Regions from separate parts of the Mus musculus genome. Here regions 2 and 3 are each reported to be linked to region 1. The links are microRNA targets in miRTarBase. Many come from high-throughput screens and were not tested one by one. Region 1 holds a microRNA gene; each other region holds the end of a gene's coding sequence.

Region 1 (4,000 bases):
ATAGGCTCAGGGCTCACACCCGAGAAACTCACCTTGATTTCTGGGGTGGTGCTGAACTGTGGAGGACCATTAAGCAGGGTACCAGCTGCCTTGGCTTCACTGAAGCTGGGCGTTGGAGAACTGGGGGGATTTACAGGCAGTGGCACCAAGAGGCTGGGTCCCCCCGAGTTATTCCCTGAGCCTGAAGCCACATTCCCAGCCCCTGATGGGGCTGCCGTACTGGATTCCTTTCTGGGTAAAGAATGGAGGAGAATCAAATTAAGATCCTTGAAGACAGGCACAGAATATGGGATCCAAAAAGGGGGGTGGGGGCTGAAAGCAAGACAGCTGGAGCATGCAGAAGTGAATCCAACCTCTGGACTCCTCTTCAGTACAGCAGAGGTACTGAGGTGTGCAACCAGGATTTTAGGGTCCCCCCAACAGCTTATGAAGTTAAAGGACAGGGGACAGGGTAGTTCTAGAATTGTCACTGAAACAGTTTTGGAGTAAATGATTGCACAGATGCACATGGTGCAATCCCAGTAGGACTGGTAACGAGGCTGACAAGGCAGCAGATCTTTCATTAGTAATCTGATGTCAAGCTGAAGAAATGGAGGACTAGGATATTTTACTTGGAAAAGGGAAAAGCCCCCACACTCATGGGAGTCAGCTGCCTCAGAGCAAAGAACAGAAATGGGAAGACAGTGTAGTGTGAAACCGAGAGTAAAACATGTCCCACTTGGTAAGAAGCAGGGAAAAGAACACTTGCTGAGGTGAAGAAAGGACACACTGGGTAGGTACTACCCAGGAAGGGTAGAACTTGGAACCCTAAAACAAGTGGCATAAGAGCTTGTGCCCACACACTGCCACCCCACTACTCACGAGGTGCTGGGAGCTGGGTTGTGAGGGCCCGAAGTGGGCCCAAGGGCTTGGCTGCTGGCACTGCTGCCCCCACTGCTACTCAGGGTCACCTCTGCAGGGCTGTCTGCCACAACCGAACTATAGCCTGGGGAAAGAAGGACAAGTGTAAACAGGCTGTCAGCTACTGTCCACCTTGCCCTGTTCCCCAAACTGGTCTCCACTTACTTGTGGCACCGTTCTGCTTGCCAGCCCCTCCGCCTGTGCCACTGTTACTATTGCTGCTGCTCCCTCCGCTGCCACCACCACTTCCCCCGCTTGGCTGGGCACTGGGGGGCCGTGGCTGGGCATTGCTGGGCCCGCTGGCATTAGGTGGGGCCACAGCCTGGGCATAGGGTGCAGGAGTACCCGAGTTGTGGCTGGGAGCTGGACTGGCCTTAGGGCCCAGGGCACTTGTAGGTGCTGCTGGGGTAGAGGCCCCATTGTTGCCAGGGGTGGAGCTCAAGGCAGAAGTGGTAGGTGGGGGGCCAGAGGGGTAGGTGGGCGGCACAGCTGGGGACTGGGGGTGCTGGTTGCTGTGGACAGGCTTGGAGCCATTTTTGGCTGGAGACTGCAGGAAGAAAGAAAGAAAAAACAAAGGGTCAGGTACTAGACCAGCCTGTCCCCTATCCACCACCCTCTTCTTGTCCTCCTGCCTTGCCTCTGACCTGCTATTAACTGTCCACATTCTCTGAGGCACCTAGGAGACTTCAATCACCTTCAGGTTTAAGACCTATTTACTTCCAGCCCACCCAGCTGTCCCAAGTCCTCCCCGGACATTGTCCCTATAGCCCACATGAATCTGACAGGGTTTAGGTTAAGACAAGAGACCAAGGGAAACTCTCAAATACCCTGAACTTGAGACCTAAAGTGGTGACACATGCCTTTGATCCTAGCACTTGAGAGGCAGAGACAGGCAGCCCTCTATGAGTCTGAGATTAGCCTTGTCTATTTGGAGAGCTCAGGCCAGCATAGGCTACACAGCGAGATGCTCTTGTAAAAGAAACAAACAACACAAACAAAAACAAAAATCCCAACCTCAATTTGCAATTAGTTGGATCAGCCTAAATGTTTAAGCGTAAGGGAACTAGGACAATCAATTCCTTCCGAATGTCAGCTAATCATGAAACTGTAAAAATGCAGTGCTCCAGGGCATCCCTACTTAAACTACGCTCCAACAACCAGGCTGCCATGCCAAACTGCCTCCTAGCCTTCTGACCACCACACAAAAATCACAAAGAAAACTGGCCATTCACATTTTTCCTGGGACTTCTGCTTGACAGTCAAGGGGCCTGATAAGGTGGCAGAACTAAGCCCACCCCCATGATTCCTTGCCCCACCTCCTCACTCCATTACTCTGGCTGCTCCTAAACCCTGGTCCCCAAATTAGCTTCATTAGTGTGCACTTAGGTCCTCCCACTGGAGACTGTCCTTTCTATTAGCCTAAAGGAATTCTGGGCTTCTTCAACAACATTCTTGTCTCCTAAGATATGTTCTTATTGTAGGAGAAATTGACAGAGCTGAGTTTATTCATTAGGATCTAAAGGAATTCAGAAGTGCCGCATACTGCCTTCCTCTCTCAGGAAGTGCTTCCTGCAGTCAGTGCAGCACAGGCAGTCTGACTTTCTGATCACTTCTCAGGCTATTTGGGTCCTCAAGAGACCAAAGAGTCCTCAGTCCAACAGCCCACCTCTCATACTTCCTAACTTCTTGCCACAGTTCCCTGTGTGACCTGCCCACAGTACCACCTAGTCTTCCTCTATAAGCCAGACAACAGGCCACCTCAACCACACCACCAGTCATCACCCTACCCTCAGAGTAGCACTGTTTCTGGCACACCTGTCCCAAGAGCCCAGCATCGTGGCCAACCCTCCAGCTTCAGTAACTTTGGAGACCACGCAATAAACAAGTTACAAACCATCAGATTTAGACTTGGACCCACCTGGCTGACTTCACTATCTGTAGATCGGCCTCTCTTCTTATCATCTTCAGAGTTTTCCTGAGGCAGGGGAAGTGAAGTAAAAAAACTCTGTGACCTCCAGGGTCCCAAAACAGAGGGCAATCCTTTAAGGACACAGGAGGGCCCTTACTACTCTCAGTCTCTCATAGACCCATCTGAGTAGCCCTGTGCTCCAGAGCTGCTCCAATACTCAGCCTGAAGTTTTGGTTAACACCTAAAAATCTGAGAGTCAGCACTCACTCCCATCCTGAGACATACCCAGGACTTCTTTCCTTATAGACTTTGGCCCCGGATCCCTGTCAGAAGGGAGACACCCAGCTGCTCAGCTCCTCAGCTTTCCACACCCCAACTCCTCCTGACTACCACCACCAAAGACCCATGTGCACCCTAAAACTGAGTGGAAACCCAGGTTTTTTATATCCGTTCCTCAGAGCACAAAAAGCCTAGAGCTCACTTCCTGAGCTGCCCTCTCTAAGGCAAGACTAGGCTTTTGACTCCTCCATGACCACCCTCTTATTAATAACCTTGGACACTTACCGTAGTGCAGTTTGCTGGGCTGGGTGGGATGGGAGAGCTGGAGGTTGTTGAGGTGGGTGTACTGCTAGACTGGTTGAAGATCTCGTCCTCCATGTGGCTGTGGCTGGGGGGGGAGGTGGCGACCAGCGCCTGTGCTGTGGGGGTAGGGGAGCAGCATGCTTAGCTGGTACAGCCATGCCTCCTGCCCTCACCCTCTGTGCCATGAAGGTCAGCCCAGGGCCTCACGAATGTCCTCGAGGTCCAGGTCGTCATAGAGGAATTCGTTCTCTTCAAAGTCGGGGTCCTGGGATGAGTCAACGTAGTACTCCACATCATCCTTGATCTTGCGGATGGCATCAACCAGGATGGAGTCATTGTCCAGCATTCGCAGGATGGTCTCCAGCATACGAACATGGTAGCGGTGCTTCTCGATATGCCGCTTCAAGCCCTCAATCCGGTCCTGCTTCTGCTGGCGAGCCCAGGGCCAGGCTCAGGGGCTGCAGAGCACCTGGCCAGCCCTCCTGCCCCCACAGAACCTGTCCTCAGTCCCCCATCACTAGGGCACCCCAAGGGTGCCTCTGCTCCAGCCCTCCTAACATGGGCCAGTGAGAAGTTTGCCCATCCTCTGTCCCAGTGAGGACAAATCTG
Region 2 (4,296 bases), not on the chromosome of region 1:
CCACATTGCATCTCCTCTTAGAAAGCTGACTGAACAGGAAGAGGAACCAGCTACAGAGTCTCTAGATCCATCCCCAGTGACACGCCTCCTCCAGGGAGGCTTCATCTCCCACAAGTTCCCCAACAGCACCACGCTCTGGAGCCCAAGTGTTCAAAGGAGGCTACCTTCAGGTAAGATGGCATGGAGCAGCCCATGGGTTGTACCGGACTGAAACAGCCTTGCTTATGAACACAGGAACTGTGGTTCTACCGGCTCTTTAGGAAGTTGTTAAATGTTGTAAGCACAGATGTACTTTAACACTCAGCTAATTTCTGTTCTCTTAGTCAAATTGCCATAAACAAAGATAATCATAGCTGGCATTTTTATTAGGAGTTTTAAAAGTTCGCACCCAACAAGCCTGTACCTGTTTATTAAACACAGATTTGTAAAATGAAGTCGTAGTTATATTTTATGGTGTATTATTAAAACAGTTACTGGCATGATCCAGGAGTGTACAGTTCACTTGGATTCTACCTGTCTAGTTGATATTTGTTGGTGGGTTTTTACAGGATGCTAATTAGCAAGGTCCAATGAACTGAAGTGTTTCAGGAACCACTGGTTCAAGTTGATGTTAATATGATGGAAGCAACACAGTGACCCGTGGGCTGTTAAAATGGAAAAGGGTACAAAAGTCTCCCTGGCCACTCAGTGCATCTGTCAGGGGACCTCACAACACCATCCCACAAGACATGCATGCAGAAATACTGGCATCTGGTTGACTTGTTTGAAATTACCAAGTCTGTTTTAAGTATAGGAGTCAGGAGTCCAGCGTCCTTACTGCACAATGAGGCCTTTGACTGAAGGCTCCAGGTCAGGATGAAAATGCTATGATACCAATACTGACCACAAAACAGCAAGGTCTGTGGTTGCAGAACAAGTTGTATCTCAGCCTCAAAAAGGACACATGGATGGCAACCTGTGAGGACTCTAGTGGGGACTGGTGATGTGCTCATGGGAGAGTCCAGATGCAACTTCCATCAGGGAAGTCCAAAGACAAGCATTTTCCCATCTCTCAAAACCTTCCTGTTGTATTCATTCAGTACTTAGTAACCCAGGGTTTGCTCCATTCCAGGGTATGCTTGGCAGTGGCTTAAGTCAGTGTACAACTCAAAACTTCATTTGGTCTCAGATTTAGTCTGCTTTTCCCCATTGGCAAAAAAAAAAAAGGGGGGGGAGGACTATTTCACTTCAACTGATTTATCATTGCCAGGACTGGAGAGATAGCTCAGCAGTTAAGAGCACTGACTGCTCTTCCAGAGGTCCTGAGTTCAATTCATAGCACACACACACACACACACACACAGCAACAACAGCAGCAGCATAAAACTATAACAATAGAGAGGATCCAATGCCCTCTTCTAATGTGCACACAGACTTGCAGAAAAAAACACCCATATACATAAAATACATAAATTTTTAATTAATTAAATTATTGTAATGTTTACAAGTTTTTTTTCTCAAATAATTTCCAGTAGGTATCTTATACAAGCTGTAGAGTTCTTAAACTGTAGCAGCAAAGAAAGGCAACATAGACTAAAAGACATAAATGAAAGTCAGCTCTCAGCCAGGCGTGGTGGCGCACGCCTTTAATCCCAACACTTGGGAGGCAGAGGAAGGCGGATTTCTGAGTTCGAAGGCCAGCCTGGACTACAGAGTGCATTCCAGGACAGCCAAAGCTATACAGAGAAACCCTGTCTCAAAAAAACAAGAAAAAAAAGAAAGTCAGCTCTCGGCAAATTCATTTTATTGCACTAAGAATTTTACCAGTAACCACTATCAAGAACTACTACATATCTTTTTTTCTACCTATTCTATCAATTAAAAGCCTAATCCCTATAGGTGTTTTTTCCCCAAAGAGTTATGTTGCTGGGTAATTTCTCTAGGCATCTGTGAGAAGTGGTGTGCTATCCCATGTCATACTGTTGACCTCCAGGGTTGACCTGGGGAGTTTGGGTAACCCACTGTGCTCTGGGTGGGCTTGGGATAGTCTTCAAATGTAAATGTCCTGGAAGGGGAGTTATGTGGTCAGATGATCTCTGCAGTTTGGTTTAGGCCATTGATGGTCTACAACTGATGAATTACAAGTAAGTTCTAGGAAGGTGTTAAAACCACTGTACTGCCTACAAAACCAGCACTGTTCCTTCCCTGAACTGAAGAGTACTTTGCTCTGTTGGCAGTAACAGCGCTCAGACACTTGTCTCTTGATCTGAAGAACCCCAAACTAAGCTCTCTGAAGCACTGGCACACCTTGAGAAGAAACACGGAAATGCCATTTGAATATATAATGTTTAAGAAGAAAGGGCAAGCCAGGCATGGTGATGCAGGCCTTCAATCTCAGTGCTCCGGAGGCAGAAGCTGGCAGATCTCTGTGACCAAGGGCAGCCTGGTCTACACAGCCAGGGCTACAGAGAGGAACAGTGTCTCCAAAAGTAAACAACAACAACAAGCCACGTCAGGGAATGAATTGGAAGTAGTTCAAACTTTAAACATGAGCCTTTATTGAAAATAGCTAGAGCCAGGCATGGTGAAAGATTTTAATTTCAACACTTGAGAGGCAGGGGGATCTGTGAGTTCAAGGCCAGCATAGTCTACATATGGAGTTTCTGGTCTACAGAGAGACCCTGTCTCAAACAGGTGGGAAACAGACAGACATACAGACAGGGTTTGAGATGTCTATTCAAAGACGGGAAATGGCCCAAGTTAAAAGAACAGATGAGAGCAAGGGTAAGATGTATAGTAATGAACAGAACAGAAATACCATCTCAGTAAGCATAGCTGTCAACTATAGTCTTTTACATTTTAAATTATATGTCATTTTAAATATATATGTGTGCATACTGAACCTTGCAACTACCAAATTTGAGTCAGCAAAGAAACCAAGGAAGAGACAGAAACCAGGAGACTCTGCAGAGGGTGACAGGGTGGCAGGGTCAAATCCGGAAAGGAATCAGTGCAAGGGACAGAAGGGACAGAAGGGATCTGGCAGTCAGTCTGGTGGCCTGAAAAAGAACTAAGTCACTGTTCTTAAGGGCACTGTCATTAAGGGCAAAGGCAGCTTACAGCAGATCGAGCAGACAGAGAACGGGAACCCTTCCAGCACGCCAGCCATCATGCGTCTCGGTGTACCGAGTGGCTGCACGTTCCCTGTCGGGCAGTTCTGAAAAGTGTAAAAGGGACAAGTTTAACCCCTCCCCACCATGGCCAAGGGCTACGCTATGAGTTATTGGTGAAGAAACTATTCGGCGCCGCAGTTCAGGCGTGTGTGCTTTGTGTGGACAGCACCAGCTTGAAACCAACCAGTCAGGTTATCTGGCATTCAACACAGTGCAGGCTTGTGTAAGAAAGGATTGTGCAAGCTTGGGTAAGAAAGCATTGGCTCATCAACTCCATGCTTAAGGCACGGCTCCCTGCGGCACGAGACGGAGAAGCCTGAGGTCATACGGACATTTCTGCAGGATCGAACTGTATCCTTTCAAAATGAAAGTCCTTCCACTTTGAGTGCCGGTTCTGAACTCCGCTCACAATATCTTCCACGACGAAACTTTCAATTTTTATGACTGGAATCTCGAACGTCTTGTATCTCACAAAAATTCCCCAGTCGTGGCTACAGTTCTGTTTGGCGCAGAATATCTTTGCTTTCTTCTCAAAATTGTCATAGATCTTTGGTTTAGGGTGTGGCTTACACACAAAGCGCTCCTTAAAAGCGTCTCCAAGGACAGTGTAGTGGGACGTCTAGGAGGAAGAGATGGAGCGCACAATGTTAGAAACGGGTCTGAAAATGACTTAGAAGCCACTCAGTAGCTAAAAGTCAGGAATGAGTGGGATCCCATTTATTTTACAAGTTGGAAGAAAAAAAAACTATATAGACAGTCTTCCCCAGGCCGATTAGGACCCATTTCCTGGGCGTCTGGCACCTGAGAAAGGAGGAAACCCAGCTTTCCAACTCAGAAGCAAAGAGGAGTTCACATACAAAGTTCAAGTTCACCAGAGGCCAGGAAGGCACCAAAGCACAGGGCTGGTGACACCCAGGGGTCACAGGGTATGTGTGTGAACAGGCTCAGGAGCCATGCTGTCCACAGACCCCACTTAGACTTGACTTAAGAGAGTACCCTACAACTGAAGGAACCCCACAGGGAGAAAAACAATATCAACCAACCAGTCCCCCAAGAGCTCCCAGCGACTAAGCCATCCACAAAGGAGTACACATGGCTCCAGCTGCGTGCGTTGCAGAGGATGGCCTTGTCATGCATCAATGGG
Region 3 (4,296 bases), not on the chromosome of region 1:
AAATGTCAGATGCAGACTCGATGCCCTTAAAAGTTTGGCTTCTGGAGTTTAATATACTGTGAGCAAAATAGACTTGAGTTTCTTTCCCATTCCCAATGTGCAGTCTAAAACAGAGACATCCCTCTAAATTTACACAGTTAGGAAAGAAAATAAAGTTCCCCCAAGCGGAAAGACAAAAGAGTAAGAGATGAGTGAGCCTACCTAGTAATGGCCAGTCAGCTCATGAGCCTGAGCTGAGACATGAGACAGCCTGGCTAATGCCAAATGTGAAGAGCAAGAAATCTGTCCTTTGGTTATGACACTAATCATATGACACAGCGAGGCATGATACTATGCCATTCCAATAACTAGTTTTAGCAATGAACATATTTAAAGACTGGTTATCTACTAATTTGCAAACAAGTCTTATACATATTGGACATGCAAAGGCTAGAAGGTAGATAGTACAGTAAAAGCAGTATTTTCAAATGTTTAGGGCAGCAGGATTGGCTAACACCATGGCAGAGACTTGTCAGGGGTTGTTTCCAGGCCTGTGATGATGAAACATGACTTTTGACTTTTCCCCATGCTCAGTTAAGTGAAAGCACAGAGCACCCAGAGAGGGGGAAAAAAAAAGGCCAGGCGTGCTGTCGACATCATTGCAGTTGTTTATTGAGTATGTGCTTATTAAAGTATCACTATACAGATTACATTTCTCATGTGATTTTTTTAATTAAAAATATATCCAAAAGCAAAAGAGCAGCTATACACAAACTTTAAAATGCGAAGAAGGAAAAAGACAGCAACTGACAGGTTCAACATATTACACATAAGCATCTAAGTCCAATACCTTAGACAATGGAGGTGAGGGACAGACTGGAGTAAGGGTACATTTGTGTGAGTTGCCTCTGCTCCAATGGAGATGACTGAGCTGCACATGCACAAAAGCATTAATGTTCCACTGAACTTGCACTGCGGGAATCACTTTTCCGTGGAAGTGCCTCTAACCTCGAGTTCCTTGGAAAGAGTACATTTTGCTGTAGATAATTTAAAACATAGTTTTATATCAATATTCAAAGGATTTTGTTTACAAATCTCTTGTAAACAAATGGTTACTTTTGCTTTAATACGATGGCCAAAGAATTAGGCTTTGGTTTTACATGGGGAAGGTAACCTGACCCCTGGAAAACATGGAATCACAAGGAAGAGAAACACTTTACTACTTCAACAGGCAGCAGTCAGACCGAACAATTAGAGAGACAGTATCAATGTAGGACCATCCAAGCCTGAACAATGAGAAATTGGAGGAGGGACTTAAAGTCATGCACTATGGTTTCCATCTGGGCTTTATCGAGTGCAGCCTTCTAAACATACATCTAGCAGGAGGAAAGCTCGGGGTTCTATGGTGAAAACTTACTAGTGAAAAAACAATGCTACCGACACAGAAGACTTCTAATAAATACCCAGGGAGCTCGCCAGAAGGGTAAAGTGCCAGGTATCTACAGACCCATGCTGGTAAACAAAACATAGCAATCCCCACTGCAGACAGAGCTTCTGGCTATGGTTAGAACTCACCTCCCAGAGGTCACTGTTTTAGGTATGGATATACAACTTGCCATAAAACAGGCAAAGAATACAGACACAATGCCAAATTACCAAGCCACACTAGCTTTTACAGATTAAATTTAGAGAAATCCAGCATTATAGAATGCAGCGTTATACTCTACAAATAACACATAGAAGTAAAGGCTTAATAAAATTGATATCCTTGGTAAAAGAAAATTTTATAAGAACTCCAACTCAAAGAAAAGCCTTTGAGTATGCAAATGCCAATGAGTTTTCAAATATTATCTTTGTACATCATCTAAAAGACAAAACAAAACTACCACATCAAAACAAAACCCCAACTTATTTTGTCGCATAAGCCAAAGCCTGACATTCAGATCTGAAATAACACTATAACTAACTTGATAACATGAGTTATCAAGTCTGATACTGATCACTGCAGCAGCACAAAGACCTAACGGACAAAGCCCCAGCATTGACTTCTGAAGACATTTCCTGCCTCCCTACAAGCACAGGTGAGGAGGCAACCTGGGCCGCTACTGGAGAAGCTTCCATTTTGCAATGTGGTATCACCCTTGCTGTTCATTGATCTCCCAGTTCATTACTATCTGCATATAATATAAATTCACTAGACCATAGATTAGCAGCTTTCAGGACAGATGCCTTGAAAGTTCTTAGGGAGGTTAAACAAATACTGTAGTCTAAGACGTCTTTTTTAACAGGCACACGCGCACACACACACACACACACACACACACACACGATGCACAAGTACACTTGGGTGATGGGGCAGCAGGAACCTGGGAACTCTATCTGGAATTTGAAAGCACCTTGTCCCCACAGATTTAAGCTGTAACTCAGCAGGATCACACGCTTTTATTCATTATAGAAACGAAGAAAACACGAAACGCCATCATTTCTTTTCTCCCTAGGTAGTGAGGCAAACTACACGGCTGTCTCAAAGTCACTTTCCTGACTACAGGCGGTGCCTGCATGATGCTGTGCTCTCTCAGGACGAACAGATGACGGGAGCATGGGAGAGCTGCATCATGGTTCTCCCTTACTACCAAAGGCCCGAGACCCAAAGTTGTCTAAGTCAGCGATCACACAGCTGGAGGGGATTTACTTACTGATAGAAAAGAATCCCAAACAAAAAACAAGAAACAAAATCCCCCAAACAACTCCAAATAAGCAAAAACACAGTAACAATATACAGTTGGCTCTTATCATAATCCTCAATCTAAAACGAACCAAAAAGAAAAAAGAACCAAGAACCGGGCAAGGAGGTTTTGAACCTTCAGTTAGAGACATAAGATGTAAAAATCAGTCAGTTCATTATCTGAAAGTGGGAAGTGGTCCTTTTAACTTTCTACTTACAATGACTTTATTTCCATAATTCCTTTATCTTCCACCTACTCTTTTCTAAAAAGGAGACAAAACTATTAGAGTCTAACGCTATTGAAATATCTTCATGTCAGCATAAGAGATGAAAAGCATGGCGGTCTGGACCAGGCAGCCATACACAACACAAACAAACTGCCCCATCTGAAGGCGGCCAGCATCTGGGAGAACATCAGAAGAGATCACAACAATCTCTTACTGGCACGACACACTTTGATCAAGAATTTCCATGGCCCATCTTACTGAAAGGTAAGACCAATGATAAGAGCAAAGCAAGTACACTCACTAAACAGAAAAGTTACTGCCTACTCATAAAATTTATTTAGATTTCTACTTACTATTTTAAAGATAAAATGGTTTTATTAAACAATTATTCTTATTAATAAGGTTTAAGGCACTTTTATTGCCTTCTGTGGATTCTCATAGCTACTACCCGCCCCACAAAGTATTATTTCAGCATAGAGGCTAGGGATTTTAATTCTAAAATGTAATACTTTGCTAATTTATTCTAAGATGAACTTAATAGCCAGGAAATTGATTTTTATAAAAGCTATTTCATGTGCAGAAAATACTGGCAATTCATAACAAATGCCAAACTGTCTGTGGCTTTCTAAACCAAACGTTTTCTCAGATTTGATTTTTAAAGTTGGAGTCTGTGCCTTCAGGGCTATTACTATTTGAGAACTCCATATAAATATTAAACTAAAAATTAAATGGTAATTTTGATTTTGCTTTTTCTTCAAATTTCTTCTCTTTCCTGGAACCACTGATTTTCAAAAATTCACAGAATGAGCATGTTTTTTGCAAAGTGGCTTGTCCTTCTTGGAGAAAAATGTCTGCCCTTCCAAACTTTCACAACACACCTGGAAGAAAAAAAAAAAAGAAGCATTATTTAAAAGAATAACATTATTTAAATCAAATCTCCCAACAGGAAGTGACTGCCCCCAATGAGCAACATTACAAGTTCTTTAGATAGTTGTGTGAGACAAGCTGACACTTCATGATTAACATGACATTTTATGTCATTTTTGAAAAGCAGAGTGATTTTTTTCCTAGAACAGTCTGATTTATTTAAATAACAGATGATTGCTTTTCTTTACTAAGAAGAAAACACTTAGTCCCAATGAAAATTTTAGTACACCAAAAGTCACATTAAGAATACAAATTCTAACCAATTTTTAAAAAATCTGTTTCCTTTTATAGAGCATTCAAAAAGAAACATAGCTTAATTCCTTTGCCAAACCCAATGTCAGTCTGTCCTATAACACAAAGGCCATAGATTCTTGCTATTATTATTTGTTCATCTTTTATTATGTGTATGTGCCTGAGTATGGTATGTGCATGAGTCAG

The links. Region 1 holds the annotated microRNA mmu-miR-3572-3p (UACACUUGUCCUUCUUUCCCCAG, at 986-1,008, opposite strand). A microRNA usually pairs through its seed, bases 2 to 8, with sites in the 3' UTR of a target mRNA and lowers its output. Matches are read on the target gene's strand: a 7mer-m8 pairs with bases 2 to 8, a 7mer-A1 pairs with bases 2 to 7 and ends in A, and an 8mer does both.
Region 2: the mRNA of Ddx58 is a reported target of mmu-miR-3572-3p. Seed matches in the 3' UTR shown: 7mer-m8 at 2,583-2,589, 7mer-m8 at 2,230-2,236 and 7mer-m8 at 1,635-1,641.
Region 3: miRTarBase lists Pdlim5 as a target of mmu-miR-3572-3p. Seed matches in the 3' UTR shown: 8mer at 2,318-2,325.

What each region holds. Positions count from the first base shown.
Region 1 is chr7:3,653,018-3,657,017 of GRCm38, reverse strand. It overlaps Mir3572 (microRNA 3572), which reads right to left and starts at 1,056; the gene lies at 971-1,056. Cnot3 (CCR4-NOT transcription complex, subunit 3) reads right to left here. Exons shown (of 18, transcript NM_146176.3): 8 at 3,599-3,818; 9 at 3,374-3,507; 10 at 2,819-2,875; 11 at 1,066-1,447; 12 at 862-985; 13 at 33-231.
Region 2 is chr4:40,202,336-40,206,631 of GRCm38, forward strand. Ddx58 (DEAD/H box helicase 58) reads right to left here. Exons shown (of 18, transcript NM_172689.3): 18 at 1,442-3,771. The coding sequence ends at 3,475. Among named protein-coding and RNA genes, the nearest start is that of Ddx58, 35 kb to the right of the region's middle.
Region 3 is chr3:142,238,961-142,243,256 of GRCm38, forward strand. It overlaps Pdlim5 (PDZ and LIM domain 5), which reads right to left. Exons shown (of 13, transcript NM_019808.3): 13 at 625-3,809. The coding sequence ends at 3,720. Among named protein-coding and RNA genes, the nearest start is that of Bmpr1b, 72 kb to the left of the region's middle.